Linked DNA regions of Struthio camelus. The protein of the gene in region 3 interacts with the protein of the main gene of each other region in a pairwise test. Links are inferred from orthologs where the notes say so. Each region holds a gene or a part of one and is shown on either strand. Other genes may lie near its edges. The genes, in order: TXLNB, ESRRG and DEUP1.

Evidence for each region.
Region 1: the proteins of DEUP1 (region 3) and TXLNB interact in binary tests that used the Homo sapiens proteins (3 or more experiments, as listed by UniProt). The two-hybrid records come from large-scale screens. The link is inferred for Struthio camelus from reciprocal best matches to the Homo sapiens genes DEUP1 and TXLNB.
Region 2: the proteins of DEUP1 (region 3) and ESRRG interact in binary tests that used the Homo sapiens proteins (3 or more experiments, as listed by UniProt). The two-hybrid records come from large-scale screens. The link is inferred for Struthio camelus from reciprocal best matches to the Homo sapiens genes DEUP1 and ESRRG.

Annotation. Positions count from the first base shown.
Region 1 is NC_090944.1:75,316,876-75,324,505, forward strand, and holds the start of TXLNB (beta-taxilin), read right to left. Parts: upstream 3,047-7,630; 5' UTR 1-3,046. UniProt on the Homo sapiens protein: Promotes motor nerve regeneration. May be involved in intracellular vesicle traffic.
Region 2 is NC_090944.1:116,100,279-116,107,931, reverse strand, and holds the start of ESRRG (estrogen-related receptor gamma), read left to right. Parts: upstream 1-4,624; coding exon 4,625-4,857; intron 4,858-5,234; exon of another isoform or gene 5,235-5,499; coding exon of another isoform or gene 5,500-5,567; intron 5,568-7,653. UniProt on the Homo sapiens protein: Orphan receptor that acts as a transcription activator in the absence of bound ligand. Binds specifically to an estrogen response element and activates reporter genes controlled by estrogen response elements.
Region 3 is NC_090942.1:212,794,157-212,801,315, forward strand, and holds the start of DEUP1 (deuterosome assembly protein 1), read right to left. Parts: upstream 3,042-7,159; 5' UTR 2,954-3,041; intron 1-2,953. UniProt on the Homo sapiens protein: Key structural component of the deuterosome, a structure that promotes de novo centriole amplification in multiciliated cells.

The DNA.
Region 1 (7,630 bases), on a different chromosome or scaffold from region 3:
GAATTTGGAGGAATTCCCCACGGTTTGCTACCGAACAGTTTTTGATTTATTCTTGGAAAGGCTCAAGCCTTCTGAAACCTTAAAAGCAAGCAAAATCAATTACCAGGGTTTCAATTTTCTACAGGCAATTTCCGCCACTTCAGCTTGCCCAAGAGATAGACTCTCCATAAATACGTTATGCTATATGCTATTTGAAGAATTTGGCAAACTGGTGAATAGCTTCATTTGAAAAATCACACATAAGGTGTGTGAATCCCCTGGGCGAGGCATGCAGTCACACCTGAATGCATCTCTGCAGTCTGGAAACAACCCTTCTCCAATATAAACAGGTAATTTATTGGGAAGAAAAAGAGCAGTATTATCTGTTTTCAGTTAACCTGGTGCTGCAGTGATGTACTGCTGATTTACACGGTTATGAGCTAGTGTAAAATCCAGTACGAAATTTCAAGAAACTACTGAATCCTAGGATAATTTTTCCCTGTCTCTTTTAGTCCAATTTTATTTAAAAACGATGGCCCTCCAGCCAAAAATGACCTTCTATCAATAGCCTGTGGGAAGAGAGTTGGGCCCAGTCAAGCCTGGATATTCTGTGATCCTGCCAGGGGAAATCTCTGGGTCCCACTCAGATGTAATCATGTTGTAAATTACATATCAGACATAATGTGGAAGTAACTTAAATGTCAAGGGTACATTGGTCAAAGGGGAGTTGTAGAAAAGAATATTAGCTATTCCAATAGGATAATGTAAACTAACTTGCCTTATGTAAAGCTATTTTTCTCTCTCCCATCCTTTTCTAGTTCCTTCCATTTGCTAACAATATTCCCTCGCATTAGCTTCGTTATCAATATGCAACATTTTTTAGATTGTTGCTAGAACTGGCTTGCAAAAATTAGAAATGGAAAACACCTATTACAGGCTCAGTCCTGCAGCTGCTCCATATGTGGAACTCCCATTGATCTCACAAGCAACACCTGCTAGTGAGCAGAATAGAGAATAAAGCAAATTAGGAATTGAAGGCTAGCTGTGGCTCTCAGTTGTGAGGGCTGTACATGGGTTGTAAAACATCTCATAATTGGAACCAAACATCCTTCTCTAGAAAGGACAAGGTCCAAATTCTGGTGACAATCATAAGTAAGCTGGGGGCAGGGGGTGCTGAGCAACACGAAGGTTATGACTAACCTATCTAAGACTACAACAGAGAAGAATAGAGACTGATACAATGGGAATGACATAGATTGAGATAATATTTACACAGAGCTTGTAAATGATAAGGACATTTGTGCTGAAAGACAAAGATGTGTAGAAAGAAAGGGAAAAATAGACACAGTGATGGTGAACTAAGTCATAATGAAAGCCTTATTCATTATGACTGAAGGACAGAATGGCTGATGATCTGTTAGTTCAGGAGGAACTAACAGTGAATCGAGGACTAGGCACTGTGATATGTCTAAACTTGCTGATGGTGTAAACACCAATGACCTTTTTTAGATGTGCATGGAAAGAGGACCACTACATGAGGAATGTGAAAGGATGAAAAGTATATTGGCATTAACAGATTAACAGATTAAAATTGTGAAACAGCTTTAAGTGTATGGGTGGCTAAGGGTTTTCCAGCTCTCTTGCTAGAATCACCTTCTTAAACATGCCACATTTGGGGGACCAAATGAGTAAAGACAGAAGAAAATAAAACCCAACAGGTGAAAGGATGAATAAAGGAAAGAAAATCAGAGTAATTTACATACTTTATTGAGCTGAAGGATAAATACGACAGACGTGGCACCAATGTCAGTACTTTCCTTTGAATATAATAAATATTCATTTTGTGTACATAAAAAGCTTATGCAAGCATATTTATTGTGAGAAGCAGATCTGGTCCCTAATTTAGATCACGGACTTCAACGGGAGTATGCAGACAGATTTATATGTAATATGTGGTCTTGGATATCTTCAGATGTACCTCCGAAACTCTACTATTGCTATGAATTTAACAAGTTTTTTCCCTGTAAATGCAGTGCTCTAAAAGAGAGTATGGGTTGGACTGCAGTGTTGCTCAATAACCTCAGAGTAATTATGTGGACTGAATGAACATTGAGTTGCTCATGCAGCTCAGTTGAGTTGAGTAGGGGGACCAAACCCGTTGAGTAGGGGGAATTGCTGAAGCAGGGAAAAATCAACTATTTAGTACCCTTCTTGGAACTGGTCAAAACAATTCTGCTTCACTCTGATACTCTGAAAACATCAGCACCATTTGTAATATTGTGTTCCTATGACATTGGAAGACATACCACTAATTACCATTTTCCTTATTAAACTTTTTCTTTGGTTGTTAGTTATGTTTTGTGGACCGAAAAGGTATTTTACTACAAAATATGGTTTTCTGTGGTTAAAATATTTATTCAAACTTTTAGAATTAAAGATGTAGCAACAAGCTTCTGTAACAGTGATTTCCAGTTGTGTAGTAACTTGCATGCAAGGATCTAATATTATCTATTAAGTAAGTTCAACATTAGGCAGCAATGAGCTAAAAAAGCATACTGTATTCATTACTTGAAAGGGTAAACTGAGGCATAAAGTGTTATATGTTAATCAACAATAAATAATGATTTGCCCAATATCATGCAGATGGGAATAAGGTGTGTTCAGACTCTTTTCTACTTTAATTGTGGCACACTTGCTTTATACACGGGGACTGGAATTAGAAGCAGAGAAGGGGAGTTCCACCTCACAGAAATGTTGGGTAAAGCCCTTACTGCAAAGAGATTTACATCCGATGTGAAATTCAGAGGATTCAGCTAGTCAACTTGAATGAAGATGTTCTAAAAATTGTGTAGTTTTGCATAAAGTAGGAGGTCTAAGTTAGGCAAATGATAGGACCAGAGGGCATAAGTGTTAGCTAGTATAAAGCACTCTTCCCTGTTCAAAAGAACAGTCCTCAGAACATGACAACAGAAAATCAAACTTGGAAATGTATGTGATGTCTGTGGGACCTCTGAGACAATTACGAGATTGTGACTATGATGGCTCACACAGGACCATGTAAATAAGAAGCTGGGACTGTGATATTGTCATTTTAATAATTAATAAATGTTACCTTTTCTCAGTATGTTTTCTTTTCTTTTTTCTTACCATTTGGCATCCTACCCCCCTTCCCTATCTTATATGTGTAAGTTGTCCGGGGCCAGGGCTACCTTTCTGTTGCATGCTTGTACTGGACGTTCCTGCTCTCTGGTTGGACCACCGTGTGTCACAGCAACACAAAATAACAAACCACTCACCCTCTTTAGTATTAGCCTCTATTTTTCAATTAAGAGAGCCCCTTAAAATTCTTAAACCATAAAGCTATGTAAATTTTGAAAAAAGGTCGGGGTGGAACTGGGCTAATAAATACATTTAGATTTATGCTCATTCTATCAGCATCTCTTCTACGAGCTTTATTCCCTTTAACATGTCTCAGTCTCTTCGGAGCACTGAGAAAGACAACAGTGGCTGCAGTGGGTGAGAGAGCGAATCTCAGCAGCTTTCCTACCAACCTGCCAGGCACCCTAAGCACTACATTTGAGAATATCCTTAGGGTAGGAAATATATTTACTCAGTTTTTCTGTTGGAAAGAGACCTCTAGAAAGTGTCCTTCTACCCTGGTGAGCTTCACACCAACCTTAGGACAACTTTTATGCAATATAAGCAGTATGAAACCACCTGCCACTGATCAGCAGTACTATGTGAAGAATTTTCCTTGTATGAGGGAACTCACGTGGAACTTGAAAGTTCTCTCTCTGCCTACACAGGCTGTATAGAGAGGAGGGAAAAGTGCTTGTTGTGAGCCTTTGTCACTGGGAGATCAGCTAGTAGAGTAGGCAGGATAGTCACTATTTGTAAGGCTGTGGACTGTTTCACCAACCAGAGCATGGAAAAAGACCTGTCCTTAGTCCTATCCTTCTTCCTCACTTATTTGCCAAACAAACTAAGTGTAAAAAGGAAAAAGTCATTGGAGGGCCTTTGGAGCAACAAGTCCCCCAGAAACTTTCTGTGTGTCAACCAACAGCAAACAAAGAGAACACAGAACTCCTTTTCATCTGGCCTGTGTTCTCTTTCCTTTTATGCTACCAGCTAATGTTTGACTAGCTGGGTCCTTTTAATGCTTTATCAATGTCAAAGTCCTATTCTGCCATTCTGTTCCTTCCTAGGACGTCAGGTGTTGAGGAGACCCACAGGTCACAGATCTTCCAGGTAACCTTGATCAAAAAGTGGAAGAAGAGAGAAATGCAGCATTTTAGCATGATCATCCACTTCAGGTAACAAATGCTGAGGAATCACGAATCCAAACGGCCTTTGTATAAGCTGGCAACTTGCGTTTCTAAAGGAAAGTATGAAACCCCCCTTGCTAACAGTGGATGCTTTACTGGCAGCCTGAATTGGTTTGAAGATGAAATATTATATACTTTTATTTCTTCACAATTTAAGCAGAATAAACACAAACAGGAAAACATCCATACCCCTGCGATGTAACATGCACGAATGTAGAAAACTGAGCCTGCATATATTTAAGTTTCCTTAAAAAGTAACATGCAATTTCCTCACAATGAAAGAGGCTTGCATAAGCCACTGACCAAATGAAAATATGGACGGGAAAGTATTGCAATCCACTCCTGACCCAAGCATCACATTGAGAATATACTCAAATACATGATATTACTTGTGAGTGAAGTTACTAAGGACTTTGAATTGGCACCAGGTCATCACAGCGACTGTGAATCCTGACCCATCTTGAATTATCGTCATAATCCGAGGTGTTGGGAGTTAGAGGATGGCTGGTATCTCCATCTGTTGTGCTATGCTCATGCAACATTTTAACTTTTTCAGTTAGGGACTCCAGCTATACCATTCCAGAGTTTCAAGAAGGATTTACAAGACCTCTGTACCCTAGCCAAGCAATGAACAGTCCCGTTAAAATGAGTAATGCATTGACACTGCCCATTGACACTGGTAGGGTGGCTTAAGGGAACGCTGGAATAACTGGGTTAGCCCTAGAATATGCAATGCAGTTTCAGCATTGAGGACTGCCTGCACTTTGAAGGGGTCTCCAAGTATACAGCTCTCCTATATAATCCATCAGTCAAGCCTTGATTTTCTGGCTTAGACACCACTGGCCAAGCAGTTATCTGGGTCAGAACTTCACCTAGAGTATCATCAATCTAGATTTTGGTGATGAACGTTATCTAGGCAAATCACAGTGGAAAAAAATAATCTTAATTCTTGTTAGTCTTCACAGTTCATAAATCAAGATCACTGTCTTTTGAAAGCTAACTAAAAAAGAAACCAAAAAATCTTAGAATGGGTCTCCTTCTATGCTAAGTCTTTTCTCATTTTGTCATCCCTTATCGTCAGCAAGGGATGAGGACAACATTTAGGGCAAAGCTGTTATGTATAGCAAGAACTACAGAGACTTAAAAGAGAAGCAAGGAGGTAAAACATTCTCCCTTACTTCCTTAGGCTGGATTAAGAATGGAAAATTCAGCTTTGGAATTCAGAAATGCTTCACTCGACCGGTTTCTGCAGAGCCAATCTCCTCTTTTGCCAGAGCTCCTGGCAACTCTGCTGGGCAGAAAGGGGAGGCAAAATAAAACAAAACAGAACAAAAAAATCAAAAACTAACCCCCCAAATCTTATAATGGCTTTCTACTCAGAGGACTTCATTGCTTGTGATATTTACAGGTAAAATGAACCATGTCAAGAAGAATCCTGGGCTAGAGGTTGGGAAACCGTGTAAAGAGTCCTTCTGTGCATATTAATCTAATTTTTGTGATGGTATTGTAGAATTCTTGAAATATAAAGAATCATGAAAAGGCTCCAGTCCGTAAGCATCTGTCACTATTCATTCTGACTACCTTTCATTTGGTTAAAATATATATTATGAACCAAATTAAAAGGCTGCTCTTCTAAATATTTTTCTCAAACCAGTAAGAAATGCAGAGTTTCAGCTACACCTAGTGGACAAACTCGAAGTACTGCAGCTTTTCTGTAGCCATACGTATACATGTTTTTATGTCATGTTAAATTACTCCAGCTCTGTTTCAATATATAAACTGTGAATTGAATCCTAACACCTTCAAGCAAGTTTCACAATTTAAAGAGCTCCTTAAAAAAATCGGCATGACTATCTGTGCACTGCTGTCTTCAATGTAAAGTGTTTGATTAAAAGGTCCGGACAGAGAATCTCTTCTCAGAAGGCGAAAGCGTGAGAAAAAGAGAAAGAAAGCATGTGGTGTGGTTTGCTGGCTTGCAGCACAGCGCACCAGGCTCTTCTGTAGCAGGTCTGTATCTGCGGACGAGGGGACGGGGAGAGATGCCCATCAGAGGTTGCTCTTGTCCTTATAGGGCAAAGGCGACTTGTGATAGATCAGCTGTTGCTCTCCCCTACAATGCGAGGACAAGTCCGCAATCACCCAGTGCTCAGACTGACCACACAGCCCAAAGGCAAACACACTACCGTCTTAAAACGCTTGAAACACCTTATTTTCATCCTGATTAAACTGAAGGGAGGACAAGAGAAAATATGAGGCCTGCGAGGCTTCTTGGCCACTGAAAAATAATCTTGCCAGATGAGACAGGAACAGTGGGATAAAGCGGATTTAAAAAGAGAAAAGGTGTTTTTTACAAGGAGGATTGAGTAAAGGCTTCAAGTCCATGTTTTGGCCAAACCAGCTTTTAGCAGGGTGACTGACTGAGAACGGGAACACTCCCTAGTAAGTTTGCAGGAGCAAGGACGTAGATCCTCCAGAGCAGAGCAGATGGGACACCTGATTGCAGGCTTAATCAGCTCCCTCCAATGGCAGTTTTGCCACTGACTTCAGCCAGAGCAAATTCAGCGCTGTGTTGTAAATAACGGTCTGTGAAGAAGGTTAACATGTCATGTTTTCTTGAATTCTGCATTTCTCTGGCCTACAGTGTTATGCCCATTCAGAAATTAAAAGCAAAATCAAAAAGTAGTCCTCATCACTCCACAAGAGGCCATTTGTTTTTATTTTGTGGGTTAGGTCTGACCATTTTTCTCACCTATCCCCTAAAACTCTCCCTGTGATGACCACAACTGTTCTTCTTTTTCTGCAAGTCTGCTACTACTTAGAAATGCTTCATATCCATCACCAAACCTCTGTTCATACCTTGCTCTTCCTCTCATCAGATCACATGCTAGCCTTAACGCAGCCTGCCTATAAGCAGCAACCTAACATACTGCCTATAATTAATACAAAATACAACTATTTAACTTCTGTATCATAGCAGCTGTGTTCAGAGGCTTGGTGTAATTTTCTACCTTTGGAAAATTCCAGGAATCCATTCTCGGCTTCAAGTGTTTACTTTAAACTTTGTACAAAGTTGATGGAGGACATATAACTGTACAAGCTTTGTAGACAGAGATAGCATCAGTTATTAGACCAGCTAATGTAGCTGGAAAAAAAAATAGAGACGATTTTGAGCAACAAGCCCTTAAACACTCATCCGGACAAACAGAGAAATCTGAAGTTCTCTGTATTACCTCTGTTTGAATAGCAGCGGATAAGACGTTTTATAGACTTCCATAAACTTCACACTCTCTTGTGCAATGCTCTAATATTAGCTAAGCAGGCTGCAA
Region 2 (7,653 bases), on a different chromosome or scaffold from region 3:
TTAAACAGAGCAACTGAATTCCCTCAGTCATCTTATCCTTGGCTGTCTGAGACAGTAATGCACTTCAGCTCCTCTGAAGAAACTTGCACTAAAAAAAGAGCTTGGGGTGTAACAGTGAGCTATCAGTATTGAAGTACATGCCCGAATTATCTTTAGGGAGTAAGACCTTTTTTTGGAGGGTGACAGGCAGTGTCTGTGCAACTTGCTTTTTTTTTTTTTTTCCTCTCTCTCCCCTTTCTTTGTCCCCCCCCCCCCCTTTTTTTTTCTTCACTTTTTGGGTTTTGTCAAAGGCTTTGGAAAAGACATTTTGTCAAGAGAATAATTTTCATTTACAGCAATGTGAACAGTTTCTGTACTGTACCAGTGAAGGCAATCTTTTAAATATCAATGCCCATGCCCTTGAAAATAAAATGAGCAGAAAATATGGAGTATTTTTTTGAGACTGGATGAACTGAATGTAGCTTGGAAACATGGTAAGGTGATTGAGTTACTTCACGGATGCTTTTTTTTAATATGCTGTAACTGGGTGTAAGAAGCAAAATCTAAAAGCGTTACTTTGTGCATTTGTGAATGCGCTGTGGAAAAGTTCTAAAGAGCGCTCTGAGATGGTGCTGTGTGAGCTTGTTTCCCTAAGATCAGAATAAGGAGTAATTAATGCTAAATACAGATTGAAGTAGCAGATGGTTTTAAAGTAATAACCTGCTATAGTTTGCCCAACTGCGTACAAACAGGTGAGCAGAATTTGGAACTTTTATAGCATTAGGTTTTTTTTTTTAAGGCATTAGCAGTGTATCCAGGGATGCCCCAATTACCTTCGAGTAAGGAGCACAAAAGCCAAGCGCGTCTTAACACAAGCAGACAGTGACAGTGTTGTTCTAACGTTGATGTTACTTGATGTTACTGCAGCACAGCACGTTTGAGTTGTGTTTCTTTACTCAGTGGTTTTGAAAAAAAGAGAAAATCACTTATTTGATGATACTTGGAAATTTCTTTCAAACTGTTAAAATATGATATTCCACAGCTAAATTTTGAAAAAGGTAGCAAGGTATATAGAAAATTTCCATCTAAAGTAACAGTATACTTATTTTCAAATAAATTCTCAGCAGGTAATAGAATTATTTATATTTTTGCGCCTACATAGATGACTTTAGTTTGTTGCTCTTTTTGGTAAATACATGCTTGACACAATATACTGTGCTGCTTCTGCAAAGTGCCACTGAATCTTACTTCTTCAGTTGCCTTGAGGTGGTTGTGTTTTAAGAATCTGGCTGTTTGGATGCCTCAAAATGTCTATAGAATTTAAGTGTGAAGGCGCTTAAAGATGTACTGTTCTGTACACAGGAATAATCATATGCACAGCAAGACATGGAGATATAGATGCTGCTCAGTAATGCCCATTGACTAGTGCAGACACTCATGGCAGTTTTCCCCCTTCCCCTCTCTGATTCCATTACCACTGTTTTGTATAGACTCCTTGTGGTAAGATTTTGCATTGTAGATTTTGATAAGATGTGTGTTTGCATGCGTGTTCTTCTTCTGTAGCTTCCGATAAAATTCAGTAAACTGACGTCTGCTTTTTTTTTTTCCAACTACTGTTTTTATTTCTTTCTAAAGCGGTACAGAGAATCTTGAGACAATGAAGTTACGCGTAGCCCCAGTTTATTTGCTGCAGTATTCTTTTTATCTCCCCCCACCAACTGATTGGTAACTGTGAAACCCAAGTTCAAGAACGTAGTTGGAATTGCAGGCCCCAGTCTGGTGGAGGTGACACTTTCAGTCCTAGGGGAAGAAGCCAACTGCTTTGTTTATCAACATGTAAAGTATAGCACTGTATTTCTGGTTGTCCAAGGAGCAGCACTGGCAGAGAAGCCAGCTGCCTGCTTGGATGAAAGATGGTTGATAGAAAGGTAGTGATGGTTAATAGGGTGAGAGGAAAAATGGATTTGGAGGTGTAGAGGGAGAGTGGGGGGAGAAGCCAACGAGGTAGTGGAAAGTGTGTGAACGTGAAAAGGAGAGCATACTGGAAGACATACCGTGACAGAAGGAAAGAGGTTATCATGTTTCAGCACCTAATATAAATACACAATCTTGGAAGATAATGAACAAAAGTAAAAATAAGCTAACCCATGCTTTGTGTTTTTTAAAATGGATTAATAAGTCATATTTTAATGAGGGTGTATTCCAGTGAACTTAATACTTTAAAGTGACTTTTATCAAATTACTTGTGTATAGGGATTGATGGCAGGTGATTTTAAATAAGAAAGTACATACACATGAAAAGATTTGAAGAAATTTTAGCATACAAATACTGAAAAATAGCAACTTTGAATATAAATCTATAAATGGACACACACACAGACACTCAGTACAAACAATATATTTGTATTTTGCATGGTTTGCTAATGTGCACATGTAAACCGATTTGTAGGATCTGTGCTTTGGGTTTATACAATAATAAAGAAATCTATAGATAAAATAAACACATCATATTCAAGTGCTGATTTGGTTCCAAAATCTGCATTTATCAAACTGCTTCTTAAAGAGGATGTTCTAGTATTGTAACATGATTAAATGCTTCTCATTTTAAAATTTGATTAAAAAAAAACCCACCCTTTTTTGTCTGTGATGTTTCTTCAGTGCTTGGATTTTACTCTACATTTCAGAGCTCTTTAATTCACTGCTCAAAAGCGAATTTACATCTTAATTACAGAGTTCACATTTAACAATATAGACAGCATAATGCTACTGTAATTAAGCTTTTACTACCTGCTTTTATACAGTAGTCAGAGACGTAGTTTTGCTGTGTGAGTTCTGATCGCTAAAAACTTGCACGTATATTTACTGCATTTGTAAGAAGCAGGCCCAGTCTTTACATCAGGTTAAGTACATAACACTGGAATCTCTCTGCCGTAAACAGATACAAACATGTCCAGTGCACTAACATATTTTGCACTTGGGTTCTGTTGTTTTATTTATTTGGTAAAAAACTGTGAGATGGATTTGGAGAAGGCATTTGTGTTCCCATTTGTGAGTGGTATTAATGCAGTCTGAGGGTGTGCACTGATTTGTTTTGATCTAAAAGATTGCCATTTGCATCATGTAGGGCTCCAGTCACAAAAGATTTTGTGAGCAGTTGAGCTGAATTATGAAAAATCATGGGCTTTCTGCTGTGTTTTTTTTTGTTTTTATTGCCAGAAACAGCCTGTATCTATTTCCTGGGAGAGGCAGGAATAAAAACACTTTGTAACTAGCAAATAGTAGTGTTTTAGTTGTAATATTAAGTAAAAATAGTAGTTTTTGAGAGAAAAATATTGTGCTCTCAATTAAATACTGATCCTTTTAAAATGTGTGTGGGGGCAGAGTTCAGTGAGAACAGCGTCTCTGATTTTGTTGTATGATCGTTTTCTCAAAACAAGTCTAATCAGAGACCTTTCATTATGACAGGGCCAAGCAACTGTGAGTTACAAAAGCTAGTGGTTTGCTGGAATCGTGGCTGGTGATGTGTTTGCAGGCATGTGTTTACTTCCCTTTCAGTTTGGTGAAATTTACTTTACAGAAAACAACCCCCCCGCCCCCCAAAACATAGTAGAGGTCTGTGTGCATTCTGAGGTTTAACAATGCAGACCCTCTACAATGCGGTCCTTATCTTGTTAAAATGAAACAGACTGAGTTAGTCCACTATAATCCCTCCACACTTGCAGAAGAAATTGATCAGTTCTGGAGCTTTTCCTGCTGTCTACTAGATCTAAATATTTACATCCAAACACCTAAATATTTGTATATGGGGATACATGTTAAATACGGCCATGTTAACACGTATCTAACCTGGATAGGAAGGCACATTCCTGCATACACTCCCAGTCGCACCCATGCTGTTAGGAAACGCGGCTGAGTGCCAGTTTTGTTTTGTATGTACATTTTTCTTGTAGGTACAAAATCAGATTTTCACTATATGTGTGTGTGTGTGTGTGTGTATGTGTATGTGTGTATATATATATATGTATATAAAAAATATAAAAAATCCCAGCAACACCTCCCTCTCCCCCCCTTCCTTCCCCCCACAAGCCGTAACTCGGGTGGCAATGAGAAGTTGAGTTAGCAGGCGCTTCGGCACACTACGTTTGATGGCAGGTGCCGAGCGACTCCGGAGGTTAGGAGAAGCGGGGTGAGGAGCGCCTGTCCAAAGCAAAGCCCTGCCGCACCGAGAGCCCGAGCCCCCAACCGCCACAGCGCGACGCACCAACAGATAACGGCAGCACAAACTTCGTTCTCTACCTTAGGCGGATTTCTTCCCCGCATTAAGTGAGAGGCTGCGTGTTATTTCTTCCTGGCAAGGTACCTGGCCAAGTGTGCTTTAAGTTCGAGCCGGCCTCCCGCGCCGCGGCAGGGGAGGCCGGCGCCGCCGTGGCCCCTCGCGGGCCGGCCGCGCGCTGACACGTCTGCGGGCTCGGCCCCAACGGCCGCCGCCGCCTCAGGCCGCTCCCCTGTCCCCACCCTCTACCTGCCGCGCGGGCCGCGCGCCGTGCCGCCCCGGCGCCCCTGGCGCCTGATTGGCCGCCGCCCCACCAATCGGCCGCCCCGCCGGGCCGGGGGGACTGCATATGTAAAGCCCTGCTTCATATTCATGAGCGCCGAGCGGGGCTTTAAGTCCTTGATTAGGCGCGCGGGCGAGCTTTTGGTCCCCACTGGCCGTGCCCGCCGGCTTGTCACCCGGAGCGCACCTGCGTGGCGCGGCGCGGCGCTCGGCCACGGAAACTTTGGCTTGCGGCGGGGGCGCGCGAAGAATGGTCGCCGGGCGCACATGGATTCGGTAGAACTTTGCCTGCCGGAGCCGCTCTCCCTGCACTACGAGGAAGAGTAGGTACCGCTCCCCGCCCCCCACCCCGCCGGCCGCCGCCTGCCCCCCCCCCGCCCCCCTCCCCCGCACACGGCAAACGCGTAAAACGCCGCTGCAGGTAACGCCGGGCCGTCTCGGTGCGCGCGAGCCGTCGCCTGCGCCGGCCCGGGGCAGCTGCGCGGCGGCTCCGCGCCGGGCGGGCGGGCGGGCAGGCAGGCAGGCAGGAGGCGCCCGCCTGCCCGCCCGCCCGCCCGCCCGCGGGGTGCTCCCTCCGGGCGGGGAGGAGCGGTGCTGCCCGCCTGCCCCGCGCCCGGACAGGTGTGCGGGCTCCCCGGCTGCCTGGCGGCGGCGAGGGGAGGGACCCCGCGCGCGCCCCCGGCGCCTCCCCCCCCCCCCAACGGCGGCGGGGTGACGGTTGGTGGGGAGCGGCCCGCCGCCGCGCGGCCCTGAGGTACCGGCCGCTCCGCCGGGGCAGCAGCCCCGCAGGAAAATCGGAGAAGGGTGCGGGGTGTTTTGGTACTTCTGTAGGGGACTGGTGGCGTGCGGCCGCTCCGTGCCCTTCGGCGGCGGCCTCTGCCCTGCCGACGACGGCGAAATACTTTTTGAACGAGCCGCAGTTGCTCGCCGGCACTTGCTAGCCGCCCCGTGGTGCGTGCGGATGGATGCGCCTACGTGGGGTGTCTCGGATGGGAATCGCGGAGCCCAAACAAAATCAGGCGGTCTGGGGCTGGTGAGTGGCTCGTAAACTTGATTTCAGCCTGCAGCCAGGATTAAATATTAGTATATCATGGGAGCTGTCACCGATTCATTTTTCTTTATGTCGAGCCACTTAGGTAGCTGTGCCTTCGTGTTGCACTAGCAGCGCCGGTGATACCGAAGAAAAAACAAGCTAATAGCAAGCATCGCCCGAGACGCAGTGTGTGGAAAGGCTGTGTTGAGAGGTGACACTGTATTATAGGTAGATGCCCACTAGCTGTCCTTAGCGTCTGTGTATTGCATTGCTATTTGTAATTAAGACAGAGATGAAAAGTGAATTGCAGTGATTATGTACTGGTGAAATAATACAGGAAGTAAGACAAACAGTAACAAATAGACTTGCTCATAGGAGCAAGCAGTCTGGGAACAGGAGGCAGCAAAATCCACTGTAATGTTCTGGGATAAATAAAATAAACAAAAGGTAAGATGCCCACTCTGGTGTGGTTTATAGGTCAGTGCACTGTGCGCTGCCTTATGGCGTAAGATAGCTTCATAAATTTAAGAACGCAGTTTCCACAGCTTTTACTGGTATCAGAAGTTTTCTTTATAAAATACACAAAGAGTAAGTTTTATTTTCTGGTTGTTCTCCCCCCACCCCCAAGCTTTCTTGAATTTACCTTCTTACAGCTAATTTGAATGATTAGTTTAGATAAGCCTCTTAGAGTAGATGCATTTCAATGAAATCGGGGCACATGTCTTTTTGGCTCTGGTGCAAGATTCAAACTAGTTTTTTTCCTCTTCTTTGGCTCAATTAAAAGTCATCTTAAAACAATCCCGGTATATTGCCCCAACTCAGGGTTTCAGGAATACGTGGTTGCATGGACACACATACACAAAAAACTAATGCTCAGAAACGTCTGCTTCTCTGTTTCTGTTTCAATTAGTAAGCCTCAGAGTTTTTACATGTTATTAATATTCATAGTAATTCTCTCTTGACTATATGTTGTTGCTTGTGTGTCCACATACAAGTGTAAGGGCACACAAAATAAATAGTAGACGCTTTCTGCAGTTCTCACGTTGTAGATGAAGGCAGAGAGGATCTAAGCTAAAAATTGTCGGAACATTTTGGGAGTGCACAGACATCTGTCTGACCATCACTAGGTATGCTTTGATTTTAAGGCAGAGCATGTTAAAGAATGCAATAACTTAAAGCCAGCTGCAGCATTGACTTTTTGCTTTTTCAGTAATAACACTGATAATTACTAATAGTTAATAAACTAACACCAACAGATGCAATAAATATGTCTGCTCAATTTGACATATGTGTCAATTTAATCATTCTAAATGAATCAGTGTGCTCATAACATGAAATCTCCTTCAACCTCTGATTAAAATGTAACGTTGACTAAAGGATTATAGAGCGGACTTAATTTTACTGACTGTTTTAACAGTTGTCACAGCTGTTGGAAGAAGGAAAGGCAATTGAAACACTCCAAAAAGGGGGGGGGAAGGGGAGGACTAGTTTAGTAAATTTAAATATGATCTCTGAATGCCAAACATAGAAAACTGGGTAGATTTGTAACTCCAGATCGCTTCGGTGCACTGTGTACATTTGCCCTTTGTAGCTCCCTGTGTTTCATTAATTTGAACCCTCAGCAGTTTCTCTACTTTATCCATTCAAAAACGTTCAACAGAGTTTAAGCATAAAAGAAATTTAGCTGTTATAGCATGCATGGATTTTTATTTTGTAGCGGAAGAGATAAAATACACAAATGACAAAAACTAAAGAGTGTGTAGAACGGATGTAACGTTTTAAAAAGTGGACGTCGTCCAGAGTCACTGTAAATAATCCAGTGCGATGATGGTCAGTGTACGTATCTTGTATTTTTCTAACGCTTCTCATGTTGCAATATGAGAATGGTCTGTGGAGTTATTGTGCGAGTCTGTGTGGGATATGCATGCATGTGGATGAGCATGAGGATCATATGCATACTCACGCATATCAGGACATACACAAATATGTGGGGGGTGAATATATGTTAAATATAAAATATTTTATGTCAGTTCCATTCTTCTATGAAATATTTTGGCATAACTTCTAATTCCCGAAGAATTTATTT
Region 3 (7,159 bases):
GGAATTACATTGACGATCCACTCCCTTGCTTAGCACACGCGGCACTGAGATACACAGCCATCAAGCGCAATCCGGTTCTGTGGGCCTGGTGGGACAAAGGATGTGCGGAAAAGCTGGCTGCGCGCAAGGACAGGAACCAGCCAAATTGCCAATAGCAGGGTGGCATGAAACAGTCCTCATTCCTTGGCAGGGCAAGCTGCAACCAGTGCGAGCAGCGGGGCTCTCCCGGGGAGGGACAGCAGCCCAAACAGGCCGGCAGACACAGCGCACGGCGCTGGCACCCGGCAGCCCTAGCTTTACAGGGGGCACGCAGCAGGGCACGACAGCACGCGTGAGCGCCCTGGCTCTGTCAGTGCATGGCAAAGACGTACCGGACAGGCTCGGCTCCGCCGGGACAGACGGCAACTGACGCGGGCGCAGGAGCAGTGCTGACAGGACAGGGGACAGGCACTTGAGGTGGCAGTGGCATCCAGCAGCCTTGGCTATACCTAGGACAGGCAGCGCTGAGGTGACACAGGTATAGAGGCAGCCTTGGCGGTACTGGGGACAGGCAGCTGAGGTGACACAGGTATAGAGGCAGCCTTGGCGGTACTGGGGACAGGCAGCCGAGGTGACACAGGTATAGACGCAGCCTTGGCGGTACTGGGGACAGGCAGCCGAGGTGACACAGGTATAGAGGCAGCCTTGGCGGTACTGGGGACAGGCAGCCGAGGTGACACAGGTATAGAGGCAGCCTTGGCGGTACTGGGGACAGGCAGCCGAGGTGACACAGGTATAGACGCAGCCTTGGTGGTACTGGGGACAGGCAGCGCTGAGGTGACACAGGTATAGAGGCAGCCTTGGCGGTACTGGGGACAGGCAGCCGAGGTGACACAGGTATAGAGGCAGCCTTGGCGGTACTGGGGACAGGCAGCCGAGGTGACACAGGTACAGAGGCAGCCTTGGCGGTACTGGGGACAGGCAGCCGAGGTGACACAGGTATAGAGGCAGCCTTGGCGGTACTGGGGACAGGCAGCCGAGGTGACACAGGTATAGACGCAGCCTTGGCGGTACTGGGGACAGGCAGTGCTGAGGTGACACAGGTATAGAGGCAGCCTTGGCGGTACTGGGGACAGGCAGCCGAGGTGACACAGGTACAGAGGCAGCCTTGGCGGTACTGGGGACAGGCAGCCGAGGTGACACAGGTACAGAGGCAGCCTTGGCGGTACTGGGGACAGGCAGCCGAGGTGACACTGGTATAGAGGCAGCCTTGGCGGTACTGGGGACAGGCAGCCGAGGTGACACAGGTACAGAGGCAGCCTTGGCGGTACTGGGGACAGGCAGCCGAGGTGACACAGGTACAGAGGCAGCCTTGGCGGTACTGGGGACAGGCAGCCGAGGTGACACAGGTACAGAGGCAGCCTTGGCGGTACTGGGGACAGGCAGCCGAGGTGACACAGGTATAGACGCAGCCTTGGCGGTACTGGGGACAGGCAGCCGAGGTGACACAGGTATAGAGGCAGCCTTGGCGGTACTGGGGACAGGCAGCCGAGGTGACACAGGTATAGAGGCAGCCTTGGCGGTACTGGGGACAGGCAGCCGAGGTGACACAGGTATAGACGCAGCCTTGGTGGTACTGGGGACAGGCAGCGCTGAGGTGACACAGGTATAGAGGCAGCCTTGGCGGTACTGGGGACAGGCAGCCGAGGTGACACAGGTATAGAGGCAGCCTTGGCGGTACTGGGGACAGGCAGCCGAGGTGACACAGGTACAGAGGCAGCCTTGGCGGTACTGGGGACAGGCAGCCGAGGTGACACAGGTATAGAGGCAGCCTTGGCGGTACTGGGGACAGGCAGCCGAGGTGACACAGGTATAGACGCAGCCTTGGCGGTACTGGGGACAGGCAGTGCTGAGGTGACACAGGTATAGAGGCAGCCTTGGCGGTACTGGGGACAGGCAGCCGAGGTGACACAGGTACAGAGGCAGCCTTGGCGGTACTGGGGACAGGCAGCCGAGGTGACACAGGTACAGAGGCAGCCTTGGCGGTACTGGGGACAGGCAGCCGAGGTGACACTGGTATAGAGGCAGCCTTGGCGGTACTGGGGACAGGCAGCCGAGGTGACACAGGTACAGAGGCAGCCTTGGCGGTACTGGGGACAGGCAGCCGAGGTGACACAGGTACAGAGGCAGCCTTGGCGGTACTGGGGACAGGCAGCCGAGGTGACACAGGTACAGAGGCAGCCTTGGCGGTACTGGGGACAGGCAGCCGAGGTGACACAGGTACAGAGGCAGCCTTGGCGGTACTGGGGACAGGCAGCCGAGGTGACACAGGTACAGAGGCAGCCTTGGCGGTACTGGGGACAGGCAGCCGAGGTGACACAGGTATAGAGGCAGCCTTGGCGGTACTGGGGACAGGCAGCCGAGGTGACACAGGTATAGAGGCAGCCTTGGCGGTACTGGGGACAGGCAGCCGAGGTGACACAGGTATAGAGGCAGCCTTGGCGGTACTGGGGACAGGCAGCCGAGGTGACACAGGTATAGAGGCAGCCTTGGCGGTACTGGGGACAGGCAGCCGAGGTGACACAGGTATAGAGGCAGCCTTGGCGGTACTGGGGACAGGCAGCCGAGGTGACACAGGTATAGAGGCAGCCTTGGCGGTACTGGGGACAGGCAGCCGAGGTGACACAGGTACAGAGGCAGCCTTGGCGGTACTGGGGACAGGCAGCCGAGGTGACACAGGTATAGAGGCAGCCTTGGCGGTACTGGGGACAGGCAGCTGAGGTGACACTGGTGCAGGGCAGTGGGGATGGGCGCCCCAGGGGACACCGGCAGCGGGCAGCGCCGCTCTCGACGGACGCCCCCGAGGAGCCCGGCGGCGGCAGCGGACGGCGCGGCGGACCCGACCCGGTGCCACCCCCGGCGCCCAGCGGCCCCGCAGCGGGCCGGCCAGCTCCCCCTGCCCCCCAGCCGTTACCTGCGCGCTCCTCTCGGCCCCTCGCAGCGGCTGCCGGTCGGGCCCCGGCGTGGGCTCGGCAGCGCGCTGTGCCCGCCGCGCTCCCCCTGCCGCCCCGGCTCCCGCCCCGCCCGCGGCCGACGCCGCCCGCCCCGCCCGGCGGCCGTTGCGGGCCGCGCCGGGCGGCTTCTGCCGTTGCCGCGGTAACGGGGAGGGCCGCGGGGCGAGGCGGGAAGGCGGCGGGAAGGCGGCGGCGCCGCCGGGAGCCGTGTGAGGGGCGCGGCTGCGGGCAGCGAGGACGGCCGAGGCGGAGACGGCGGCGGCGGGGCGAGGACGGGGCTACTCGCCGTCGACATAATTTTTAATGTAGGTGCCAGCAAACTTCCGTTGGTTTATCTGGAACAGCTGCAGCGAGCTTTGCCGCCGTAGTCGCGGGGCATCTCTCTGAACCTCCTCCCGGTGTCACCCGCTCTCGGTGGAAACCAGCTATCCCCAAATGTAACTTCCGTCCCTTGTGGGCAGCAACTTAAAAAAAAATGCAGAGATACAGTTTGGAAATTGCATATCGATATTTTCAAAGGGTTTTAGGAGGACAATTCCCATTGCAATTAGCCAGAGCTGTGTTTCTAGCCCCCTGAGGTGCCTTTAAGTATCTCATTCACTATATTAAAAAAATCCCATATCAGTTCTTGTACATTTTCTGGTTGCTTTTGCTGATCCACGTCATCTCTTCACTGGAACTTGGCTTACAAGGCCCCAAACTTTTATCTGTTGACTTTAAATGAGAGGTAATTAGTAATATTTGAAGCAGTTGAAGAGTAAGGGGAAGAAATACAGAATCATTAAAAGTTTTATGAATGATATTTACACATACTTTGAATTATGATAGCCAGCAAAAGAGGAAACTACTTTCAAACCAGCTTATATGCTTAAATAAGTGGAAAGCTATATAATCACGTTTCTGCAGGAAAGAAGGAAGTAGATAGGGCAGGGACAAAACAGGACTTGACTGAATGTCAATCAAGACAAGAAACAACATCGATATTTTTATAAAAACAACGGGAATTGACTAGGAAGGTGCCCAGCAGCACGACTAGCCAGTAGCAAGAGCGTGTAGGGAGAGCCACGTTTTGGGATAAGTAGTGATCCCGGTCATACAATGTGCTGCACCTTTAGTAGCAAACCCCTTGCTCAGCCTCGTTTGGGCATTCATGCACCGAGCTGAGGTCAATAGCTGTAGCAAAGACAGTGGAAAAAACAGTATAAAGAGAAATGCTGGTCCTCCAAAATCTGCAACTCGATCTTTTTATTTTCAACTTCTCCTCTTGTATGTGACAGTATTGACAGGTCTTGTCCACCCAAGAGAGCATATACCACAGATGTTTGCTTTGGAGAGAACTAGGGAAAGTGAATCTTCTGCTACAGCAGGACTTTTCGCCCTGGTGTGGGCTTTACGTGAGGTTGTCAGGCTCTGTGGATTTGTGCATCTGTGAAGCATTTAGCTTCGTGGATTTGTGAAGCAATTTTGACAGCCGTTGCTGAAGGAGAGGCTACTTAAATTCTGTTAACTAATCTGTTCCACTAAGACATTGTAATAGCAGGTTTCAGAGAAGTCCTAAGTAAAGCAATAGTCTTTTAGCATGTAATCATTCTGAGAATTTGGTAAAATTCTACTAACAAATTAAATCTGTGGTCTACAATTAGCATATTTCCAGAGCAGAATAAAAGAGGTGATGCTAAGCTAAGTAATATAATTGAGATGTAATGTAAGTGATGAATAATTATATGCCTACTGGGCAATCGTCCTAGATATTTCTCACTTTAATTATTTAAGATGTGATTTTTTGTAGTGGAATATGTAATGACAGGTAAGAGCTAAGTGCATTTCTGTGTTTAATTTTAAAAGCAGTTTATATTTATAGAGTACATTCACACCTTATCTTGCAATCTCAGATGACAAATTTGATTGTGATACAGAAAGACCATTTTCTTGCAGTAGGCTCAGCATAGCTCTTGTAACAAACATACTAATGCATGCTCTTTCTTTAGCATGGAAATCAGCTGGTTTTAGTGATATTTATGTGACAGATTCATAGCAGCTCTAAAATAGTGTAGTAATTACATTTTATATGTTAAGCAGTTTGGATGTTTATAGTATGAATATATCAACTTAATTTACAGGTGCTCTATTAGAAGGGACAAATGGAAAGGAAAAAAAAAAGGTCATTGTAAGCCATCCTTCAGCAAATACACAGAAATCACTGAGAGACAATATAGCCTATGAAAATCCCTAAAATCTGATCAAAAAGAGAAAAATGCCGTTTTAAAAAAGAACCTTTTAAGAGGGATTTTTGTTTGTGAAAATTGGACTGAGGCATAAAGATCTGCCTGAGGATTTTGAAGGTGTTTACCTAATTTACTGGCAGGAGATGACAAATCCTGACATAACACAGGCAGACCCAGAGTGCTGTTCTTAAACATTTTTTTTTCTACTTTAAACTGCAAACTACTCTATTCTTAAGAAGGTTGTCAGATCACTGAAGGAAAGAACAGAAGGAGCTTGGATTTAGTTGCATCTAGCAGGTATACTCATCAATAAGCGATACCACCGGCTGGGACCTGGTCTACAAGCGGAGAATTGTAAGAATTCATCCTGTAATAGGTAGGAGCGTGGAATATGAAAACTAAGGGTAGTGCTCTGAGAAAACGCGGAAAGGGGACAAAGGTGCTATTAGCCCTGTTACTGTGACAACAGGTATTTAATCATTTTGTGTGTCATACTTTAATGAACACAAAGCGTAATGCTAGATAATGCATGTGTAAAAGAAATAATCCCTTTTCTAAAGCTTCCTGCTTATGTGTTTTTCTAGAAACTCACGATAATGCTTAGCACTCCTGTAACATCTTTTAGCGTGATGTAGTCTTCCCTTTGTTGCTACTGCCTCATAAAAATAATACTCTATGGTCTAGCAGCTTGGAGATAGTTTCTAATGCTCTATACACAGTAATAGTTCCTAATTAAATTGTTTTTACTTATAAAGATGAAATGAAATAGTCTCCTGTCAGTGATCACTGGCAATTAAAAAAGAAATAAAGAAATATGACTCTGCCAAACTTCATAAGTTCTACTTCATGTGTTGCTATGTATTGTGCCACAGTTGCTTCAGTTGCTATATTGTACCAAACTGAATCCACTGAAGTGAGGATTTGTTAGAAGTTATTCTTGTTAAAATCGGAAAGTTCTCGAAAAATATCACCTCTAAAGCACACATTTGAATTGATACTGTCTGAAGGGATCACCAAAAAAAACCATCTTAAATTCCAATTATATTATGATATCTCTATACTTTTAGTTTTCAGTGGCACAGGTTTGATAACATCGAACGGGACTTCAGAGCTCTGGGAACGGTGGTTAAGGGTCTGGGAGCCCAGGTCGTTTTCTCCTCAATCCTGCCTGTGAGGGGGAAGGACGGGAGGAGGAGTAGACGAGTTTTCCAAGTTAAAAACTGGCTGCGCTGCTGGTGTTGGCAGCAGGGCTTTAGTTTCTATGCCCATGGGACCCTGTTTGAAGATCAACAGCTGATGGGGTGACATGGGATCCACCTCACCAAGCAGGGCACGCGTATCTTTGCCAACAGGTTGGCCAGCCTGGTAAGGAGGGCTTTAAACTAGGCAAGATGGGGGAAGGGGAGTGGAATAGTGACACGGTAGTCAGTAAAACACCGCTCAAGTCAGGATGCCTCCAGTGGGTGCATGCCGCCAGGGGAGACGGCATGGAACAGGGCTATGGAGGATGCTCTTGCACCTCTCCTGAGAAGCTTGCATGCTTGACTGGCTCTCTGAAATGCCTGTACACCAATGCGCGCAGCATGGGGAATAAGCAGGAAGAGTTAGAGATCTGCGTGCGGTCGCAGGGCCATGATCTCGTTGCAGTGACAGAGACATGGTGGGATAGCTCACATGACTGGGATGCTGTCGTGGATGGCTATGTGCCCTTTAGGAAAGACAGGCCGGGCAGGCGAGGTGGTGGAGTTGCTCTTTATGTGAGGGAGCAACTAGAATGTGTGGAGCTCTGCCTGGGGGTGGATGAAGAGCAAGTTGAGAGCCTATGGGTAAGGATTAAAGGGCAGGCTAACAGGGGCAACACGGTGCTGGGGGTATACTACAGGCCACCTGCCCAGGAAGAAGTTGTGGATGAGGCCTTGTACAGGCAGCTGGAAGTAGCCT